2 linked regions of the Rattus norvegicus genome follow. The main gene of each other region encodes a partner of the protein of the gene in region 2 in a complex. Links are inferred from orthologs where the notes say so. Each region holds a gene or a part of one and is shown on either strand. Other genes may lie near its edges.

Region 1 (11,011 bases), on a different chromosome or scaffold from region 2:
AACAGAATTCTCTTAATGTAACCTCACTGACTGTTCATGACCAATAGACTTAGTTTCTGGACCAACCCAGAACTGCTTTCCAGAGCAGTCATAAAAAAAGGGGCTCAAACAAAACAACACTGAAATGTTTCTTGTGATGCTGGTGAACATGAGAGCTGGCACATTAAAGCACAGTTTAGAAATGATTATTAATACAAATCCATTTAAAATATCACAAATGTATTTTCTCTTTATGTAAGTTTCTGCAGATATACGACACTAACAGAAGCTAAAGCTTTAGAGTCTGCCATGCATCGGGCCTGACTGCTAGGAGATTACGAGTATTCTCTGCAGTCCCTAAAACACCTTTACAACGTTATAGTCTTTACTAGCCTTCTATCACAAATGTTCAATCCTAAACTCACAAAGCACAGAACACACAAAGATATCAATAACCACAAGTAACACTGGCTCTCCATAGAGTAATGTGGCTACTTAGAGCCTAATCCCCTCTGAAACAGAATGAAAACTAGAACTTACATAACAATGCAACATAATCAATATAATCTAGTTACTCCAGGATGATTATCATCATACAAATTTTATCTGTACTACTTATCCAGAAATCTAAAGCTAGTGAAGGAGCTGCATATTAGTGCATTTTTACACTAAATTATCAACCAGATGCTATTAAAGACAGTCCCAGCTATTTAATCAAAAGGCCTAACTGTGCACTTCATGAGACACAGCCACCTGAGGATTAGCTAAGATTCTCTGCTAATCACAGCAGGCTTGGTTTAACTATCCGGCAGCAGTGTCTGGAGCACGCAGACTACTCCCTCACAGAGAACGCAAAGCTACTACACAGGAATGAGCACTGGCTCTCCCCAGATGAAAACATTTTTATACATACTCAACGTCCTCTGTCTCTGAATTTATTTTTCTAAAATTGATGTTCAGAAATGTTACTAAGGCAGAGATAAATGAAAAATAGCAACATTTTCTCATGTATATTACAAATCTACCCTCTGAAAGAGTATATCGCCTTATTAACACAGACAAATCTGCATATCACATCCTCCCTGTAGAAACAAGTTTAATAGTTTTAAAATGCCCTGCTGTTCTCTGTGGACACAGATGCCCAGTTACTCCTATGCAGTGGCCCTGTAACTCGGGTTCCCGCAGGACACAGACCACCGCCTCTGCTTCCTGATACGACGCTCTGCATGGAGTTCCTGCCACAGAACAGTTCCACCACTGCTCCTTTCAACATGTGCCAGGCTTCTCTACAGATCTTTCTTCTCGTCAAAAAGAGTGCCCGCCATATGTATAGTCCTCAGAACACACAAAAGTGACATTAGATGCTTAGTTCTTTCGACCTTGTATCTCATTTCTCTAAGAGTTGAAAAGTCCCAATTTAGAAACCAAACTGTCTATACAGAGTGAAATTGGGCCTGCCGAGTTCTTTGGGAGCACTTTGGAAACATCGATTATTCTGAGGGGGGTCTAAGAAGCAAACACAATGGTCCACTTGAGCAAAGAAATCCATCGGGTCTCTCTCTGCGGCTCTCAGATATATGAATGTTAAGACAAGAAATTGGAGAAAGTGAACTGCTACATTCAATGAGAATAACCATAACTCTCAAATTTAGCTAGCAATGATGGTGTATACATATTTATAGCAGAAATAACTAATAATAATAGCTAATTTATAATAAATAACTCATAAGTGTCAAAATGTCCAAGCTTGAGCTGTACAAGTTAGAGAAAAGATGTTACTGCCTAACTTTAGAGCTATGTGCTAATACCTTTAGTAAGTGGAGCTAGCAAGGAAAATGGAGCCAAGTAAGGGCTGTGAGGTGTAACTCAGAAGCATTTGCTTGCTGGGAATGTACAAACCTTGACTTCAATCTCCAATACCAAAATTAAAAAGTTTACAGAGAAAGTAAAGTTATATAATCAAAGTTTCAATTAAAAAAAAAAATCCTAAAAACACACTAAGTATATTACCAACTTTGACTCTATCCACTTAAAAACTCACAAGGCACAGACCTGCCGGCCAACCCTGTCAGGAGGCGGCCACAGAGCGTCGTCCTCCTTTGTAATTTCACTGTCGTCAATGATCCTTTTCAGTTCTTCCATTACACTCTTGTGGACATAAGCCTGAAAATCAGTTCAATAAAATCTGTAAATGCCCATCTGTTTGAATGTCCCACAGTTCAGCATGACAAAATAAAAGCAAGTCCTAACTAAATGTCCAAACACAATAGGCGTGAACAACTGAATTTGATCCCAAATCGTCCTTCTCACTACTGCTACTTTTTCTACACCGTGCTCTTTACAACACACTGTGCCGTCTTCCCACTCTAGCTTCTTTGAGGCTCCATATTCTTCTGGGGAAGCAGGGGCACCCAGGCAGCTTACAGTTACTGGGCCAGTATTAGGGCCATAGAGTAAGAGCACAATGCTCTCACACGTGAGCTGGCACTCAAAGGCCAGCCTGACTTCCACGCCTTTCATTTAAAATTTACACTTCATAAAATGAATTAAATGATATGGGGTTATAAGTATTAAGGGTGATTCTTTTGTTAAAAAAAAAAAACACTAAAATGAAAACCACCAAGATGACTTAGTGGGTAAAGGCAGCCGAGGAAAAAGTCCTGTGTTCTATCACTAGAACCCATATAGTAAGAGAAAACCAATTTCTACCAGCTGCATACAAACACAATAAAAAATTTTTTAAAAAAATGCTATAATCATATGTAATTAAAATAAAAACATTTCAATCTATAAATTGGTTTCTTGAAACAGACCTCTGAAATAACTTCAGGATAAATGAACAAGATATAAAAAAATAAACATGTAAACAGAAGTTAGCCAGAGGCAGGTGGATCTCTGAGTTCAAAGTCAGTCTAGTTGGCTTACACTGAGTTCCCCGACAGCCAGGGCTACAAAGTGAGACGCTGTCTCAAAAGAAAGGGAGAGAGAGAGAGAAAGAGAGAGAGAGAGAAAAGAGAGAGAGAGAGAGAGAGAGAGAAAATAGAACTTGCCTCTTTTCTGATCATCACATCATTTTTATAATTGCTGTTGTTGGCATATCTAAGCTTCCCTGTGTGGAGAGAAAGAGAACATCATGAGTAATTTTAAAGGTAAAGATAATTCCATAATCCCACTTTTATTAGTATATCTACTTTCCTCATGCAAGATCAATGCTAAATACTCAATTAAAAGCAGGCTAGTAATTTTTAAAATAATCCATACCTTCAACATAAAATGGGTCAGGTTTGTTAAGGTCTGTTTGCTTTCCTTCCTTCCTTCCTTCTTTCCTTCCTTCCTTTCTTTGAGACAAGATCTCAATGTGTAACGAGGTTGGCAGCCTTGAACAAACAGGGATCTATCCGTCTGCCTCGTTGCCTATGTTTGGGGATTAAAGTTGTGCACAGTAAACAGTTTATTTTCTTACCTAGCCCTGAGCACAAAGTGACTGTGTCTAACTACTAAGTATTCTCTTTAGTGTCATGTGAGTACCTAGTGCTGTTCTCACAATATTTCACCTGGTCTCTAAAGGAATTCTAAGAATGGGTTTCACTTTCTCACCTCTTCACAGGAGATAAAATCAAGGCAAGCAACTTACGCAGCGTCACACAGTCTCAAAAGGTCTGTTTTTGATCAACTCTTTCTCTATAGTTCCAAAAATGATCTCTCAATTCTTTCCCTTCATGTTAGTGTATATGGATAAGATAATGATTTTTTTTTAACTAGGAAGCATGCAAACGACATGAACTGCCAAGCCTGTTCGCTGACTTATTCAACCCATTCCTCACAAGCTCTGAAGCCCCTGGTGTGTGCTTCCCTGTCAGTCAGGTGCCCTGATACAGCTGCAATGTCTTTCTCATCTGCCAAACTGACAGATTCTGTGGTTCATGATTTTGCATGTGAGTCGAGCAATGCGGTGGCAGAGATGCATGAGGACCGACCTCTACTTAAGATTCCCCTGATACCGTGGGGTTCTTAATTCATGTGACTCAGGGCGATAAGGACAAGCTGGTGTTGTTCACAGGCAAGAGGAACAAGAACTGAATTACAAGAGGAATAAGTAAAAAAAAGCAGAGAAAATAAAAGAGTAAAAGACCAGGCCACGACATCAAAATTTGGAAAACAAGGTTGAAGTTATTAAGTTTCAAAATAACGGCAGGACACTGACTGCTATGCTGACTTCTTCCTAAACGCTCCAAACCTTTGGAATACATGATCCTTTCCTTACGTTTCAAAGAACCTTGTGCAAAACTTGCACAAAGCACTTAAATAAAATCCATACTATCCTATCGTAGGTTAAATGTTTATCTCCCAACTACCTTCGGCTTTGACATTTATATACTGCCGACTACACAATGAACATTCACAAATAAAAATTCTTGGTACAGGTAAGAATTGCCTTACACTACACAGGGGCTTCAACAAATCCCTGCTAATTCTGTTCTCTTCTGGGTTTTCTCTCATCCAGAAACCAAGAAGGTTCATTGTTTTTATCTCAATCAAGTATCTCATCTTCTAGAGGAAGGTTCTTTTTTGTAGGGGGAATCTTTGTGTTCGGGGGACAGGGTTTCTCTGTGTAGCTCTGGCTTTTCTGAAACTCCATCTGCCTGACTCTGCCTCCAGAATGCTAGGATTAAAGACTCAGGCAAAGCCTTTTTTGTTGTTGTTGTTTGGTTGGTTTTTTTTGTTTGTTTGTTTGTTTGTTTTTGTTTTTCAAGGTCTGATCATTTATTTCTTACTCTTAAACACTTATTGTTTACTGGACTAATACTCAAAATTAGAAGCTCCCATTGAGGACAGCCTACGTCTCTTAGAAATCTGTTCCAAGTATTTTTCTCTAGCTTCATTCTCTAGGTCAAAAGTTTAGCTCATTCTGTAGCTACTTTATTTTTCTTAGTGCATTGTTTCTTCAGAACAATACACTGGAGTTGGTGGTGTTCCAGGACATATGAAGTAACTAGATGTTTGGGTCTTGCGTGCTTTCTTCCTGGATTTCTTACAGTCTTTGTTCAAGGGCTTTTCAACGGTGCACGAGCAGACATCATCTTCTTTAGAGACACTGAAACACTTTAGGATTCTGCTAGCTCTTTGAGACCCAAGTACAGAGGGACAGGGGCTCAGTTCAGCAATATCATTTTTGTTTTTTAACAATAACCGGTGTACTCTGCACTGGGTCAAGAAGCCTTGCTTCATGGTAAAACCGTTTGTCATTCTCAGTCCTTTTTGTGATTGGGACCACACAACCCATCCATCCACTCTTCACCCAGAGCATCAGTAGCTACCTCTGTGGCCATTTGCTTCTCCGAGAAAGTACAAAGTTTGTATTCACTGTCCACCTGAAAGTGTTCTGACAGCTGGTGGCTAGGAAGGAGATATTCAGACTCATCTACACAGAGCTGACCAACTATCTAGAAGGCAGCACAAAAAGAGCTTCTGGGAGCATTCATTGACTCCCTTACCTTTGTCCATCATCCACTGGTGAAGAATTGTCTTTCAAACCTGACACATATCACACTCCCGTGTTCAGACACGGGGTTCCTCCCCTACAAAGCAGTCTTAACACAGATAGTGAATGAATGAGTAGGCCAAAAAGGCCACCTAAAGATTACAAGCATCCGCTAGAGTATGTGTCTTTTGATAATTCTGTTAACACTCCCGAAGCACAGGTTCTCTGCTCTTAAGTTTCCGATTCCTGTGTGTTCAATTTTTCTGACAGTGGCAAGATCCGCTTTTCTGAATTACTTTACAGCATTTTTTTTTCTCTTACAAGCACTGCGCAGGCGTGCTACACAAGCAAACTCTTCCAACATTGGTATGAAACCCTCCAAACCGGTTCTTCTGGAGTCTGGAGCGTTGTAACATGCCTGCCATCCCACTATCCCGAAGGCTGAAGCAAGAGAATCGTGAGTTCGAGGTCAGCCTGCACTACACAAGACCCTGACTCAAAACTAACAAGTACATTGAAATAAGAAAGGGAAAAAAAAAAAAAAAAACAGAAACCCATTCCCTGGGCGGCTCGCCCTCCCTCGCAGCCTCTCCGCCGCTCACCGTCCGGCCGAAACTCGAACTCCAGAAACTCGTGCCCAAACTTGCCCTTGTGCCCGACGTAGTACCGCAGGTAGAAATCACTAGCCAAAGCCATTTTTGCCCTCGGTAAAGCCCGGTATACCGCCGGTCCAACGTGCCGCCGGCGCGGAGTAGTGACGTCGCAGGCGCGGGCAAAGAGCGTCAACGAGGGCGCGCTTACTCCGGTAGGGAACGAAAGCCGGGAGAACTGAAGACAAAGCGAGAGACCCTCAGTTCTGAAGGTTTGCGCTGGAGCCGCTTCACCACAATCTCAAGCGCTTTGTTTTCTTTTTTTTTTTTTTTAAGATTTTTTATATGCTTCGATATTTATTTTTTAACTCTGACGGTTTTATACACGTATATGATGAATTTTAGTCGCCCCCACCACGTTACCTTCCACCATCCCTTCTCCTGCAGAACCGCTTTTACCAATAAGCCCTCCTGTGCTTTTACATCTCCTGTATGTCTGTGTTGAGGGGAGAATCACCGAGTTTTATAAAGATTGCTTGCATGAGCGCGATGGTTGGTACAAAGTCGCAGATTTCATTGTGGCATTGTATATTGTTTTGATTGAACCTCACTCCATACACCTCTCCCTCATATACTGTCTCCAATTCTTCTGTCCCAGTTATTCCCGCTGCACTTTCTTGTTAAATGCATCCTGTTACTCTTCCCACTCCATTTCTTTAACCAACCCGCAGTATCCTCTCAGGTTTAATAACCTATACTCACAAGCACATAAATACACGCATACAAAAGCTAAGATCCCTATACAAGATTTGCATTAATACTTCACGGTTACCTCACTTAACTATAATAATTGACAGATTTGTCCATTTTCCTGCATATTTCACAGTATTTTAGAAAAGAACAAATAGCTTGGGGTTTTCTTTGTTTGCTTCTAGTTATTTAAATGGGCTTGGGAGGAACATATGCAAACCATTTTTACTTTCTGGTTGCCCTATGGTATGGGTGTGTATTTTTCTGAGTTTTGAACTAAGGTTTACAAGCTGTACTTAGGGTGGGTATCTCTGATCTCCAAGCACATTGTAAAGTTGGGTGTGGCTCCACTTCCTGTAACTGGTGAAGTGAGTAAAGATACATTTCAGTGGCAACTGGATCACAATCTACCAGAGTCTCTTTGGATAATGCTTCACAGTATCCAGTGGCTAACAGCCTTGACTAAGACACAAAGTAAAATGTATCTCTCTGGTGGGGGGTTGATGTTCAAATAGCACATGAAACTGAAGAGTCCAGACAGTTATAAGAGTTTTTCATAGTGTAATACAACTTGTGAATCGGTAAGGATTAATAGTTTGTACCCTAGGTATTTGCAGGGATAGTTTAAGTTGGAGAAGTACGGAACATTCCAGTGTGGAATGGTCTTGGAGAGCACAAAAATGACAGTGAACTTGCACCCAGTGTCCACTCTTAAAGTCCTGGTTACCTTTCTGTTAGCACCACTGAGTAATCCTATTGGTGACTGATGGCCTTCTGTACTAATCCTAAGAAAAGGAGTTCAGTCTCAGTACTGTTCCCACCAAACCTTGGACAAGTCATTATCTCTGAACCTGTTTGATCATTAACTAACTAGACACAAGCGACCAACCGCCAAACACAGAACTCAGAAGATCAAATAACATGTGTGTGATATGCTTTGAAATCTAGGCGACATGGGTTTTAACGAGCCTTTCCTATGTGCCAGAGCAGATGGAAATTAGTAATAAAGCAATCACGACATTTACACCTTCGGAATAAAAGGAAAGCAAACATGTGAGGCAAAGGACAGCAAAGGGAAGCAATCAGTAAAAAGAATATATGCAATGGCCCAGCTCTGTATGAAAATGGCAAGTAGTTTTACTGGGGGTGGAGTTAGAAGATTATAAGCAAGGGGGGGGATTAAAGAGGACATAAAAATTGCTATTTGAGTTGACTTTTTTGATAAGTGCATTCTGTGACTGTCTAGCAGTATAGACAAGCATTTCAGACAAAGGATGCCACAAAGGAAAGCAGAGTGGTATGAATGTTTGTATTTGGAGAAAGCAAAAATAAACATTAAAAAAAAACTCACAATATCTGCACCTGAAATCAATAATTATACAGGGTTTGGGAAAGTGGAGTAACTGTCAAGGCACGTTGGAGCAGGTTCTCTTTCCTTTATGTAATTGTTAAATTTACTCCTGTAGCAGGGTGATAGGCTGCTACTTAGGAAAACACATTAGAAACCTGAATCACGACAACATACCAGAAGGATACCCAACCCTTCCAATTTGCCCAGGTTTGAGGAGTTTTTTCGGATGGGAAACTTCCAGTTTTAAAACCTAGAAGCCCCTGACTTATTACAAGAATAATTCACAGAAACTTGAGCAAAGTGTTGCATAGCATCTGTGAAAATATCAGCTAAAACCCCTTTCACCGAATTATACAAAAAGGAGTGTTCCATGGCCTTTGGTTCTCTGTGCATTTCCTTCAAATTTTTCACACATGTACCGCGTTCATCCTCCTATCTATCTAAATAGAACTATAGATGTCAGGATTTAAGTGTACTTACACGCAGTGTGGAATACACACAATATTAAGACTTTCCTAAGTTGGCCCATTATGTTCTTGGTCCTCTATCATGACCTATGAGTTCAGACATGTCCTCTGGAACTTATGTCTTTTTTTTTTAAAATAAAAAAGAGAACTGTATTTACCTGAACTTTCATATTATAGTCAAGATTGTACCAAAATTGGACCTTTTGAGATGGTAAACACCAGATACATGTGGGCAAGTGTTTTGTTATTAAGCTCTTAAATGTAGCTAATAATGTAGTGGGACTAAATGTAGCGGGACTGGGGAAACTTAATTTTGGGGAATTCTTAATTTTTGTTAACTTAAGTAAACATTTAAATATCACATGTGGCTAGTGTTTCTCATGTTGGTTAGCACAACTGTATAAGAGTTTCAGCTCTCTGTAATCAAAGCGAAGTAGTGAAAATATACTGTGCACATTTTCCTTTTTCCATTACTATAGTTGCCAAATTAGGGTGCAATTGGTCAGAGTTTACCTTTGAAAATAAATGTTTTTACATTACTCATGTGAAACCAAAGGACTGTTTCTGCTTTTGCCCACACTGTGGTCAACTTCACAGCACCTTGTGAAATTATTTTGACGTAGGTAGGAAACAAACCTTCCCGACTGTGATAGAAATTGAGGCTTGATGGTTTAATGCGCAATATTCGTTGATAATTTTTCCACACAAGTGTTTTATTTTTCCAGTTGTATGGTGATGTGTCAGTTTCTTTCATTTCCGGTTGTGTTTTGCTTTCTCATGTAGCCAAGCTGGCCTTAAATCCACGACCTTCTTGCGCTCACATCGAACGTGCTGGCACTACAACTGTGCACCACCACACTCCCCTTCTTAGATTTGGCTCTTCCTTAGAGTCATTAATATTTTAATTGCTCTGCTGGGTTTTTTTCCCTAGTTATAGAATTCTCTCCTTTTGAATTCTTCTTATCTGTCCTTTTATCTTGTCTATTTAAAGTGATCAAATCATTCCCTCTTCCAATATTCAGAAATGCTCTCTAACCATGTCCTAGTAAACACAACAGGTAATAAACTTATATATTCATTTTCTGTCTGTAATTTTTGTTGGTTTTATATACTTACAGAGCAAAATGTCAGAACTGTCTCTTTTAGTGAAATGAATCTATGTAGCAATACTAGTATGTAGTCTAATAGACCATCCTAACATTGGCACATTTTAAGAAGGAAAAGCCAAAGTGTAGTGATCTATTCCCATCCATTTCCATCTGCTTGCCTTTCCTTTTTATTCCCTCTTAGATTCCTTTATGGATTTCAGCCATGTCTTTTGCCACTTTATTTGAAAAGCATGTTAATGCTTTTCTGATAAATTCCCATGGTGCATAAACAGCAAACCCCCTTACACCACTGGTTATCAGGCAGGATCAGAGATTACCATGATGAAATAGAGTTAATTGTATTATTTACATCTAGAACTCTTAGAGTATGTTAGAGTATCCTATGATTTAAATAATACAGCATAACTTGTAACATACATAGAAACAAACAAACATAATCTATAAATTAAAGACTATAGGCTATCCACTGGTATTCTACATGGTTCATTGGGTATGATAAAGCGTTTTCTAAATTGTTATAATAAGTTTGAGAAAGTTCCCTTAATGTACACTAATAATTTGATCAACCTATTTTAATCTTCATTTAAAATGAAGAAAATGGAGCTGGAAAGATTGCTCAGTGGTTAAGGCTACCTGAAGAGGACCTGAGTTTGGTTCTCAGCAGCTATGTCAGACAACTCACAAACAAGAGGAACTCCAGCCCCAGGGAATGCAATGCCACCTTCTGGCCTTCCAGGTACCTGTATCCACATGCACATACCCAAGTAAGGAAAGGCAAACCACCCTCTCTTTCATCATGTGTCTCCTCCTCTTTAACACACATGCTGCAACCCGGTAGACTGCCGTTCAGTCCCCCATCTATGTACTGTCTTTTCTAGTTATTATGGTTTTGTTTATATATGGATGTTTTAGTATGTATGTGTTCAGTGCATGGCAAATCTGTTAAGAGTGTACTATATGGAGATCATAGGATAACTTTAGGCATTCATCCTTGCCGTCCACCTTGTTTGGCCTGGGTCTTCTATTGTTGACTACTGAGTATGCCAGGTAGACAGATTGAAATCTCCTGAGGATTCCTGTGTCCACTTCCCATCTTATGAAAGATATGCTGGTGTTACAGATGTGTGCTGACACATCTTTTACATGGATTCTAGAAATACAAATTCCACTCTGCAAACTTGGAGGCATGCACTTTATCGACTGAACTATCTTACCAACCCCACACTGACTTCTTCTTACCTCACAATTGTCATAAATTCCCAGAGAGAGTCCCATTCCTGGAC
Region 2 (10,236 bases):
CTTTGCCCAGCCTGTAGTCACTACTTTCTCCTGACTTCTTCTATGGACTCTGTTGCCGGGCTGTTTCACGTCTTAAACTAGATCCTGCACATGTGAAGGTAGGGAAAGAAGTGGTCTGTTCATGACCAGACCAGGAAAGCTGGTGACACAAGAACTCTGCACTCTAAGTCGTGGGAAAATTTCCATGTTTAATGTAAAAGATTTAGCGCATTGGATTATTTACACGTGCATTAGAAAAGATGGCAGAGGCCGAGGGTCCTCCTGAGGGCTATGAGAAGACAGTTCATATAAACCCCATTAAATAGAAGCTTCCATGTCCAAAGAGGAGCTCCAAACAGGCCCTTGGTGTACCAGCACCAGCTTCAGATGAGGTCAGCCACTGAAGGGGAAGACAGACACTTGTTAATATGTCACCTCCCTAACCCTAGTAAGGGAGCCCCACCCACAGCCACCAGTACAGCCAACAACTTGCCATTCATAGGCATCTCATCTATCTGGGTGGAGTAGTACTGCTCAATGTCCCTGAGGATGCGGATGTCATCATTCTTCACAAAATTGATGGCCACACCTTTGCGTCCATATCGACCTGATCTCCCGATTCTTTTGATTAAAATATAGGTGTTAGTAAGCAGTCACACACACGAGGGTCCAGGGTGTGAGCAAGGGAAGGAAGCACACACCTGTGAATGTACAGTTCTCTGTTGTTGGGCAGGTCATAGTTAATGATGAGGGACACCTGAGGGACATCGAGGCCCCGCGCCCAGACATCTGTGGAGATGAGCACTCGGCTGCAGAATAAAAGGCAAAGGTGAGAGGGAGCAGAGCGGCCTCTGCAGTGTGAGCAGAGCGGCCTCTGCAGTGTGAGCAGCACACCAGTGCTCACGTCACCTGCAGGCCACTGGAAAACCTGCTGCAATCAGACGTGGGCTGACAAGACCACAGCTGAGGGTCTTTTAGAGTTCATTTGTTTAAAGACAGTACCTCCAGGAAAACACGACGTCTGCTTAGCAAAAACCCCATTAAGAACAGGAGCCTACTACTGATGACCCCATTTCAACCCATACCCCTCCCACACTATAGCAGATGCTCTGAGCAAGTGGTGTCAACTGCCACAGAGGACACAGTCATGATGATGCCACCCATCTGAAACATGCCTGGTCCTAACAGACACGCTAGGTGTGCAAGGATACGGGGCTAGAAAGCAGTGTAAGAACACAAGACGGTTACACTCCTGAAATGGTGTCACACTGACAGTGAGCTAGAAACCACCTGCTTGCTTCCCCTACTGCCACGGTTACTAGAAAGGAGCTGGACTCCTGTTTCCACTGCAAGTTAGGGGAAGGAGAATCCCAGAAGTCTCCAGAGGTACGCATGCGTGAGCACCTACTTCCCTGACTTTGTGTAGCATCGCAACCGACCCAGGAGGAAGGGAAAAGGCCAGAGCAGTGTGAGACAAGCAGGTCAGGGCTCCAAATGGTCACAGATGGCAAAAGGACACAAAAGGTTTCACCTAGAGTCAGCCGAGACCAACTGCTGAAACCAAAACCAGAAGAAAAGCAGAGAAGCCTACAGGCAGGAGCTGCTTAAAAGAGCAACTGGATTGGGAACTGAGGCCTCAGAATGAGGGGCCAACAGCTGGCAGACCCTCACCTCATCGAGGCAGAAGGTAACTACTGGGCATGGTGGGTCATCGTAGCAGCATCCCCTTCACCTCTCCTTGACACTCTGAGGTGAAGGAAACACTTCCAGACAGATTGAAGCAGGACGCTCATCCTCAGACCCAAACTAACTTGAACATGTCTCAGATTCAGAGATGAAGAAAGGCAGGTTAAACATGTATAAATCTAAATAAATAAACCCTACCCTATAAAGCACAATGACACTGCAAACTAAAACATACGTTAATCTCCAGCACTGAAGTGTGTGTGTGTGTGTGTGTGTGTGAGAGAGAGAGAGAGAGAGAGAGAGAGAGAGAAAGCACACATGGTTTAACAGGCATGAAACAAATCTAGGTCCTTGTACCGTCTGCAAAGACAGGAACGTAGCTCTGATAACAGATGCTAGCATCTCCAGGTAGGTACTAAATAACATAAAATTTTTAAAATACATTAAAGAGAAGGAAAATAGTTTAAAAAAATAAAAAATTAAGTCAGACATGGTAGCACACGTCTTTAATCCCAACATTCGGGAAACAGAGGCAGGCAGATCTTTGTGAGTTTGAGGACAGCCTAGTCTACAAACAGCAGACTATCCAGTACAGGATAGTCAGGGGTCTGTTACACAGAGAAACCCTGTCTTGAAAAACCACACACAAAAAACAAACAAAAAAACAAAGGAAAGAAAAACAGAGGGAAAATTCACTTCTAAGATCAGTACATACATGTAATAAACTGCTCTGAATGGTCCACTTCTGTGACTCCTATACTCCAGTGGAGACAGGAGATCATAAACCCTGAACTGCACAGACAAACCCTGTCTCAAACTCTATATCGTTCCAATTTTAGTATATGTGCTGCCGAAGCGAGCACCTGTCTCAAACTCTAAAACCAAACAGAAACGCAGGTGGTGGCGGCAGCTCGAGCCTTTAATGCCAGCACCCAGGAGGCAGAGCAGGTGGATCTCCGAGTTCAAGCCTGGTCTATGGATGGTGTTCCAGGACAGCCACGGCTACACAGGGAAACACAAAGCCAAGCAGACAAGCACCCTAACACCAAACCAAACCAAAACCAGAGAGGGAGAGAACAATCATCAGAGTGCTGACAAACCAAACTCAATTCTGACTTCTCTGAGAAACATTATTTAAAAAAAAAAAAAAAAAAAGCAGAAGGATGAGCCCTGCCCAGGCTCACAGGCAAAAGTTGTCAGCCAGGCTTCAGGACACCAAGGGCAGGTTCAAGTCTCCAAAGAAAAACTGTAACTGCACACCCATATCCAAGGTGAGGACGGATACAGCCAGCATCAGAAGACAGGCCAGTGACCTGGCTCAGTCGTTTACTTAGTCAGGGAGCTTAATGCCAAGCCTGACAGCCCAAGTTCAATCCCTGGGACCAACATGGTGAAGAGAGAGCTGCATTCCACATTGGTCCCCGACCTCCACACACTCTACACAGCACATTCAACCCTACAGCCACAGGGAAACATAGGACGGGCGCCTCACCTACTCAGTCACAGAGAACTGACTATGAGAGGGAGGGATCCCAGCAAGCAGAGGGCTATCACAGGCTATCAGCTCCAGTCTAGCTGGGCATCTCTTGTTGAAGGACAGACAGACACACACACACACACACACACACACACACGCCAAGTGTGTCCCCAGGGAATCACAACAGGCCTGAATCAAAGACAGACTCTCGAGGCCTGTTCTCTGAGCACTGTGACTGCCGATCCAATACCTGATCACCAGAAGTTGAACAGAAACTAGCGTGAATACAATAAACCAATGCTAGCAGCGGTTCACCACCAACCCAACAGCCCGCACGGGACAGCGTCCTCTCAGAGAGCAGCATCAGCCCCTGCACCTGGGCCCTGAGGGCAGTGCCATCCGTCCTCCCACAGGAGCCAAAGCTGCAAGGCCTACCTGGCACCTGACCGGAACTCCTTCATGATGGACTCACGCTCTTTCTGGGGCATGTCTCCGTGCATGGACGACACTGTGAAATTGGCTTCTCTCATTTTCTCTGTCAGCCAGTCAACCTACAGATCAGAACAAAAGAGGTGCTCATCCACCCATCCAGAGACCTGTACAATGGCAGCTCTCAACAGCAGATTTACAGAGTCGCAGAGGAAACTCCCCCACCAACTCTCGCAGACTCTGCCAGCAGACACCACTTCAACCCAGCTTAAACCAAAGGCATCCAAATGATGACATAAGACCCGTGTCGGTAACCCCCTTCTGTCCTAGACGCAGACCTTCTGTGACCTCCCTGCTCAGAGGCCCCAGCAGTTCCCCCACTGCCAAATCTCAGCGTTTCCATCTAACGCACCGGCCACAGCTGAATTAACAGGAACCCAAGCCCAAGCCACACCCTGGGCCTCTGACAGACAGGACACCCAGCCTGCAGCTCCCCAAGACCGACACAGTGCAGAGCAGCGCACCTTCCTCTTGGTGTTGCAGAAGATGACAGCCTGGGTGATGGTCAGCGTGTCGTAGAGATCACAGAGAGTGTCGAACTTCCATTCCTCTCTTTCCACGGCCACGAAGAACTGTTTGATGCCTTCCAGAGTCAACTCATCACTGAGAACAGAGCTCACGTCACTCTCCAACCCAGAATCCGAGGGACAGGGCCACGCTGAGCCCCCAGCCCTCCTCTACCCAGCTGGCTTTAGACCTTTCCAGTTCTCGGTCCCTTGGGTTCCTCTCCCTCCGCAGACCACAGAACCCCACGGAGCACACAGCTCAGGCTTAGAAATGGAAGAGGGTAGAGATCATTAAACCTGGCTTCCACCCAGGGAATGAAGGGATGCATCCTTACCGCTTCACCAAGATGCGGATGGGGTCGGTCATGAACTTGTTGGTCATCTCCAGGATCTCATGGGGCAGCGTGGCGCTGATGAGAACAACCTGAGTGGCTGGTGGCAAGTACCTGTACACGTCATAGATCTGCTCCTTGAAACCTGCAGCAGATGTGGTGAGCTCGGCGTTGGCTTTCAGGCTGTCACTGAGAGCCACACAGAGGGACTTCAGAGAAGTCGGTGGTCAGAGCGAGTTCACAGGTGCGCATGTGAACACCTGAACCCTGACCCAGGCCATGTGCAGTGCCAAACCAGACAATAAGAAGACACTGTCACCCCAGCTAGGACTGGTCTCAAAAACATTAACAAAACCACAAAAACATTACAATAAAAGTTTCAGGTTCAAAACCCCACAAGACGGGCTGGAGAGATGGCTCAGCGGTTAAGAGCACGACTGCTCTTCCAGAGGTCCTGAGTTCAATTCCCAGCAACCACATGGTGGCTCACAACCATCTGTGATGGGATCTGATGCCCTCTTCTGGTGTGTCTGAAGACAGCGACAGTGTACTCATACTCATAAAACCAATAAATAATTAAAAAAAAAAAAAAACCCACAAGACACACTGCTTCTGCAAAAAGTAAGGACTGTCACACACACCTAACAGTATGTTACTAGAAAATTCTGGTCCCCTTACCTTTGTTCAACATTTCATCAGCTTCATCCAAAACCAACATCTTGATTGCCCGTGTCCTTAAACTTCTACGGCGGATCATATCTGGCAATTAGATTTTGAAAGAATCACATGTGGGTCTAAGGAAAGAGCTAGCCACTCCCACTGGTCCCCAGAGCCCTCAGAAGCTGTCCCACCATGTGGTGTATACAACTGAACTGCCACGTCCTTTGAGCACACCTCATAAACACCACCCACAGCCCAGGTCTCAACAAGAGAAGCACTCACCAAAGACTCGTCCTGGTGTGCCCGCCACAACATGCTGCCCATAGTCCAGCTTCCGGATGTCCTCCCCGACATTGGTGCCACCAATGCAGGCATGGCACTGCACGTTCATGTAATCCCCCAAAGCAAGCAGACCCTGAAGCAAAATAGGTTTCCATGAGAGGCCCGCAGTCAGACACATCTCAAGGGTCATCTCTACTTTAATGGGAGACACCACCTACCACTCACTCACTTAAGCTCTTTCCTCTGTCAAAAGGAAATTCAATTTAGGGTTTCCTGATACTGAAGGGGTGCAAACCAAGTGTGGGAAAAATCACAGTTGATAATCATACCGTATTAACATCCCAATACATATCCCTCCAAGACTAGAAGGAAAGTCATTATTTGATTAAAATGAACTTCATTTTCCTGTGAGGAAGGAACCAGGGCCTTGTGTACTTCGGCAGAGCCAAGTACCGCTGTGCCACATTCCTAGGACCATGGCTACACCAGGAGAGCAGAGACCAGGTAAGAACCACCAGCGAGTCAGACAACAGGTTGCCAGGCACACACAGCTCGGTTCCTGCTTCTTGTGTTGTCAAAACCAAAAACGAAGAAGGAAAGTGTGGGTGGGAGGACAGCGGGGGTCAGCGTTCCCTCCACCTTTACAAGGATTCTGGGAGGTGCACTCAGGTGTGAGCCACAGCACCTTCACCCGCTCCATCGCCGTGTGGACCCCCAGCAAAACAGAAATCACCTCCCTTCCATACAACGACACGTGCAAACACAGCGGCACTCTCTACTGCTGCTCAGGGATTGATGGGCCTCACACGTGGGGACAGCAGCACTGTCACAGGGCGGCACCAGCCTGGCACACCATCTCCGACTGTCTCACCTTCTGAATCTGCACTGCTAACTCTCTTGTTGGAGCCAATATCAAAGCTTGGGTTTCTCGAACCTAGTGAGTTAGAGAAAAGAAATGTCATGAGATTGTACAGAGGAATGGACAGGTTTTCCTATGACATGTCCACAGTCACTCTCATTCTCTTACCCCTTCCCTATCTCTTCCCAAACGGTCCCATCTCTACTTTCAAATCCTCTTTGAAAAATTAAAAAAAAAAAAAAAAAAAAACTAGATTCTGGATGAGAGGGAACCTGATATCTGTCCAAGTCCAGCTTCCTGCCCTGAGCCTGTCAGCCATCAGTCTCAGTGTCACTCGCACGGCTTGCTAACAAGCACTGGGACCTACTATAAACACTAGCTTGGGTTAGCTCGCTGCTCTTTCCTAACCAGCCTCAGGAGACACTAAATTTGAAGGCCAGCAAGAGCGCTGACAGTCAGGGCTCTCCTGTGAAGGTCAACCACACCCCATCTAAAACCTGCACTCAGTACACACAGCATTGGCATTAAAGAGCATTTGCTGCGAGTGGCAAATCACCTGGATATCCAAGCACTGAAGGACTGAAATACTGAAGGTGGCCGTCTTGCCTGTGCCAGACTGAGACCTGTTTAAGAAAGCACAAGGTAGTTATCAGAGAAAGAGCATCTGACACTGCCCCTGTTCTAGGGACCCCAGCCCACAGCAGTGCTCCCTCCAAAGGCCTGGCTGCAGACATGTGCAGCAGCTTCTTACTAGGAGCCCCTGCTCCTGCCCTGTTGGAGGGTGGGTTTGTGCACTGTAAAGGTTCCTAGCATTAGTCAGATGCTGGGTTCTGTGCAGGCAGAGCTGAGTGCAGGCCAGGCTTGGTGACTTATGTTCATGAAGTATCACCCATCTCAGTGCTTTGTAAACTCCGTCACCTCCCGACTGGTTCAGGAAGGAGCTCATTGTTTAGCTCAACAGAAGAGAAGCAGGGGTGCCCAGACACCAGAGGAGGGGAGGGGGAATGGAGGAAGTGAGGAAACCACAGGGAGAAGGTATAGAGAAACCATGAGGAGAGACATGGACCAGAGCAGACAGCAGGTGACAGGGCATGTGTCCGGTGTCAGCAGCCTAGTCAGGTGAGAGTCTCAGAACCTGGCCAGCTTAAGCTTTACGGCTTGTTAATAAAACACCAGGCTAGAGCAGGCTTAGAAACACCAGCAGTTATCTGAGAACAAGGAGGACATAGAAACTCCATGAATTAATCTCACACTCTCCCAAACATCTTAACTCCAACAGTGGGAGACCAAAGTACAAGGTCACTTCTTATTCTTATTTTTCACCTTTACTTATCTGTGTGACTGAACATGTGTGAAACTTCTTTCAAAGCCGGGAAGAGGATGCTGGACCTGAGGCTGCAGTTATAGGCAGCTCTGAGCCACTCAGTGTGGGTACCAAGAACTGAACTTGGGAACAGAGCGAGCGATCTCCACAGCTCCCAGAGAGACAAACTGCTACAGACAGAATGGATGTGGGGCTTCTACACCAGGACACCAGAACTAAGAAACTGCAACGCCAACAAGAACTTCCCAAAGGAGGCAGAAAGGGGACCTCTCCCTTTAATGCACCAGCTCCTAAAGTCTGAAGTATGATGTAAAGGATAACTGGTCATTTATAGTTCAGTAGTAGAGAAGGCCCTGGGCTCTGTACCTAGCATGCACCTTTAATCCAAATAGCAGCCAGAATTCTGAGTTGGAGGCCAGCCTGGTCTACAGAGAAACCCTGTCTCAAAGGAAAAAGAAAAGAAAGCTAATGAAAAAGTACTTTACACAAATCCATAGATCTACATTCAGGACCTAGGGCTACATCAGCGTAGTGTGTGCAATGACCTCCATAGGACCCAGAATACACATCCAAAAACAAGTCGGCATAAATAAATAAGGCAGGCTCAGCTCCCCACAGCTCTCCCCGAGGACCCAACTCGCTCTCAGCGCCCACAACTTACTGTGCAATGACATCTCTCCCTTTAATTATCTGCTTGATAGCACGCTGTTGGATCGCAGAAGGTTTTTCAAAACCTAGAAATGCAAAGAGGAAACACTGTAACTCCCCAGGACTGTGACGGCATGAACTACCTGGGGAACACACACTTGCTCCTTCCTGCCAATCCCAGGCAACACAGGCAGAGCTGAGCACATCTTCACAGACCAGCCTACAGGACTACCTGTCAAGATGCTACCCACTACACCAACACTTGGAGGGCAGAGGCAGGAGCATCAGGAGTTCAAGGCCAGTCTAAGCCACACCAAACCCGCTCTACAAGCAAAAGCACAAACCCAGAAGCACTGCAGTTGCTGCCCTTTCCTGCTACCAAGCACTCAAACCCCAGCTGGTGGTGTCTCCCGAGTACTGAGCCTGCACAGGCATGGGGAGACGCCCTGTGCTGCTCTCCTGTTTGCACGAAGGCCCATCATCAAGGGACCACCCACCTGCTGGGCCATCACTACTAGCAAGGAGAACAGTATGAAAGACTGGACAAGGCTGTGCACTCCCTTAATCCCAGCAGGAGAAGCTGAGCAGGGGGATCTCTGTGAATTCCAGGCCACCTGGTTCACAGAATGAGTTCCAGACCAGCCAGAACTAGGTAGAGAGACTGTGTCTTAAAACAAAACAAACAATGAAAACACAAGTATTTTCCAAATAAGCAGATAGGATTTATAAGAAAAGATGTTGTTAAACATCTTGGTGACGCACACCTTTAATCCCAGCATCTGGGAGGCAGAGGCAGGGGATCTCTGAGTTAGAGGCCCAGTTTGGTCTACTAAGAGTTACAGGACAGCCAGGGGTACATGGAGAAACAAAACAAAACAAAACAAAAAGCAAAACAACAAAGAAAGCAGAAACAAAAAGAGTTCATTCGGCCTCCCTCAAATGCTCCTAAGCAAATACCAACAGCATGACCCACCATTCACTCAAAAAAGCCAGGAATGCACTGCATCTGCTGCCAGCAGATCCTTTAGCTCCACAATAACATCCCCATCTCTCCTATGGTCCGGCCATCACCCCGCCTCCTCTTCTAACTCCAAATCCAGACACCAAAATAAACTTTCAAACGGTAAGCCTGATCCTATCGATTCTGCTCAGAACTCTGCGGTGGCTGGCTCCCCGCTGTATTTAGGAGTGAATCTCAAATTCTTTACTCATGCCTTTAAAACATGACGAGGGGTTTCTTTCTTATGTTCCTGGCACTCGTCAGGCAATGGCTTCAAGAAGCCAGGACCAGTTGTTCCCTCTCCCCTGGGGATTCTGAACGCCTCTGGGAGCTCTCTTTCGGCTCTTTTAACTCACCGTTATCAATCTATCTACTCTATCCAGTCGCTCATTCTCTTGTTTTCCCAATTCTCACCGCTTGAAGCACCCTTGCTTCGTATTTCCCGCTTCCTTAGGAAGCTTTAAACTCCACAAGGCACGAACGCACCAGATTTGGAGCCCCGACTTCCCCATCAAAGCTTCGGGGCACCTCACAGGGACACACACATGGCTATCCGCTACACGAGCGACTGGAGGAGCCTGGCTGACTGCAGCACCGGGGAACCCCGAGCTCTGGAGCTCGGACGCACGTTCCCCACCCGGTCTGAAGCGGCCCGTCCCCCAACCTCCCCTTCCCCGAGGCCCGCGCCCCACCGTAGGCGTAGATGCCGCGCAGCAGGTCCTCCCGAAGGCCCATGGTGTCGAACGTGGGGGTCACGTCCACCTCCTCGCTGGTCTCGAACTCCACTTTGGTCATGTCCTCCTCTTTGAGCAGCCGCTTCCGCGCGGAGCCCGACGTCGCCATCGTGGCCGTGGCCGCCATGATCCCGACCCCACTAATAGACAACTGCGAGCTGCGGCGGGAACCGGAAACAAGGCTCGCGCCGCCGGCCCGGTCGGGAGGAAGTGACGCAAACACAGCGCCGCGGAAGAGCGTCAGGAGGGGTGGGAGGCAA

Evidence for each region. The genes of interacting proteins can lie anywhere in the genome.
Region 1: Eif4a3 (region 2) and Magohb share a complex: the UniProt entries of both Homo sapiens proteins name them as parts of the mRNA splicing-dependent exon junction complex. The link is inferred for Rattus norvegicus from reciprocal best matches to the Homo sapiens genes EIF4A3 and MAGOHB.

The regions. Positions count from the first base shown.
Region 1 is NC_086022.1:166,767,184-166,778,194, forward strand, and holds the start of Magohb (protein mago nashi homolog 2), read right to left. Parts: upstream 6,158-11,011; coding exon 6,064-6,157; intron 3,394-6,063; exon of another isoform or gene 3,241-3,393; intron 3,089-3,240; coding exon 3,030-3,088; intron 2,143-3,029; coding exon 2,032-2,142; exon of another isoform or gene 2,021-2,031; intron 1-2,020. UniProt on the Homo sapiens protein: Required for pre-mRNA splicing as component of the spliceosome. Plays a redundant role with MAGOH in the exon junction complex and in the nonsense-mediated decay (NMD) pathway.
Region 2 is NC_086028.1:105,047,399-105,057,634, forward strand, and holds Eif4a3 (eukaryotic initiation factor 4A-III), read right to left. Parts: upstream 10,164-10,236; 5' UTR 10,104-10,163; coding exon 9,935-10,103; intron 8,329-9,934; coding exon 8,256-8,328; intron 6,894-8,255; coding exon 6,827-6,893; intron 6,346-6,826; coding exon 6,283-6,345; intron 5,545-6,282; coding exon 5,412-5,544; intron 5,229-5,411; coding exon 5,148-5,228; intron 4,615-5,147; coding exon 4,473-4,614; intron 4,235-4,472; coding exon 4,096-4,234; intron 3,694-4,095; coding exon 3,578-3,693; intron 789-3,577; coding exon 681-788; intron 601-680; coding exon 473-600; intron 380-472; coding exon 363-379; 3' UTR 169-362; downstream 1-168. UniProt on the Homo sapiens protein: ATP-dependent RNA helicase. Involved in pre-mRNA splicing as component of the spliceosome. Core component of the splicing-dependent multiprotein exon junction complex (EJC) deposited at splice junctions on mRNAs.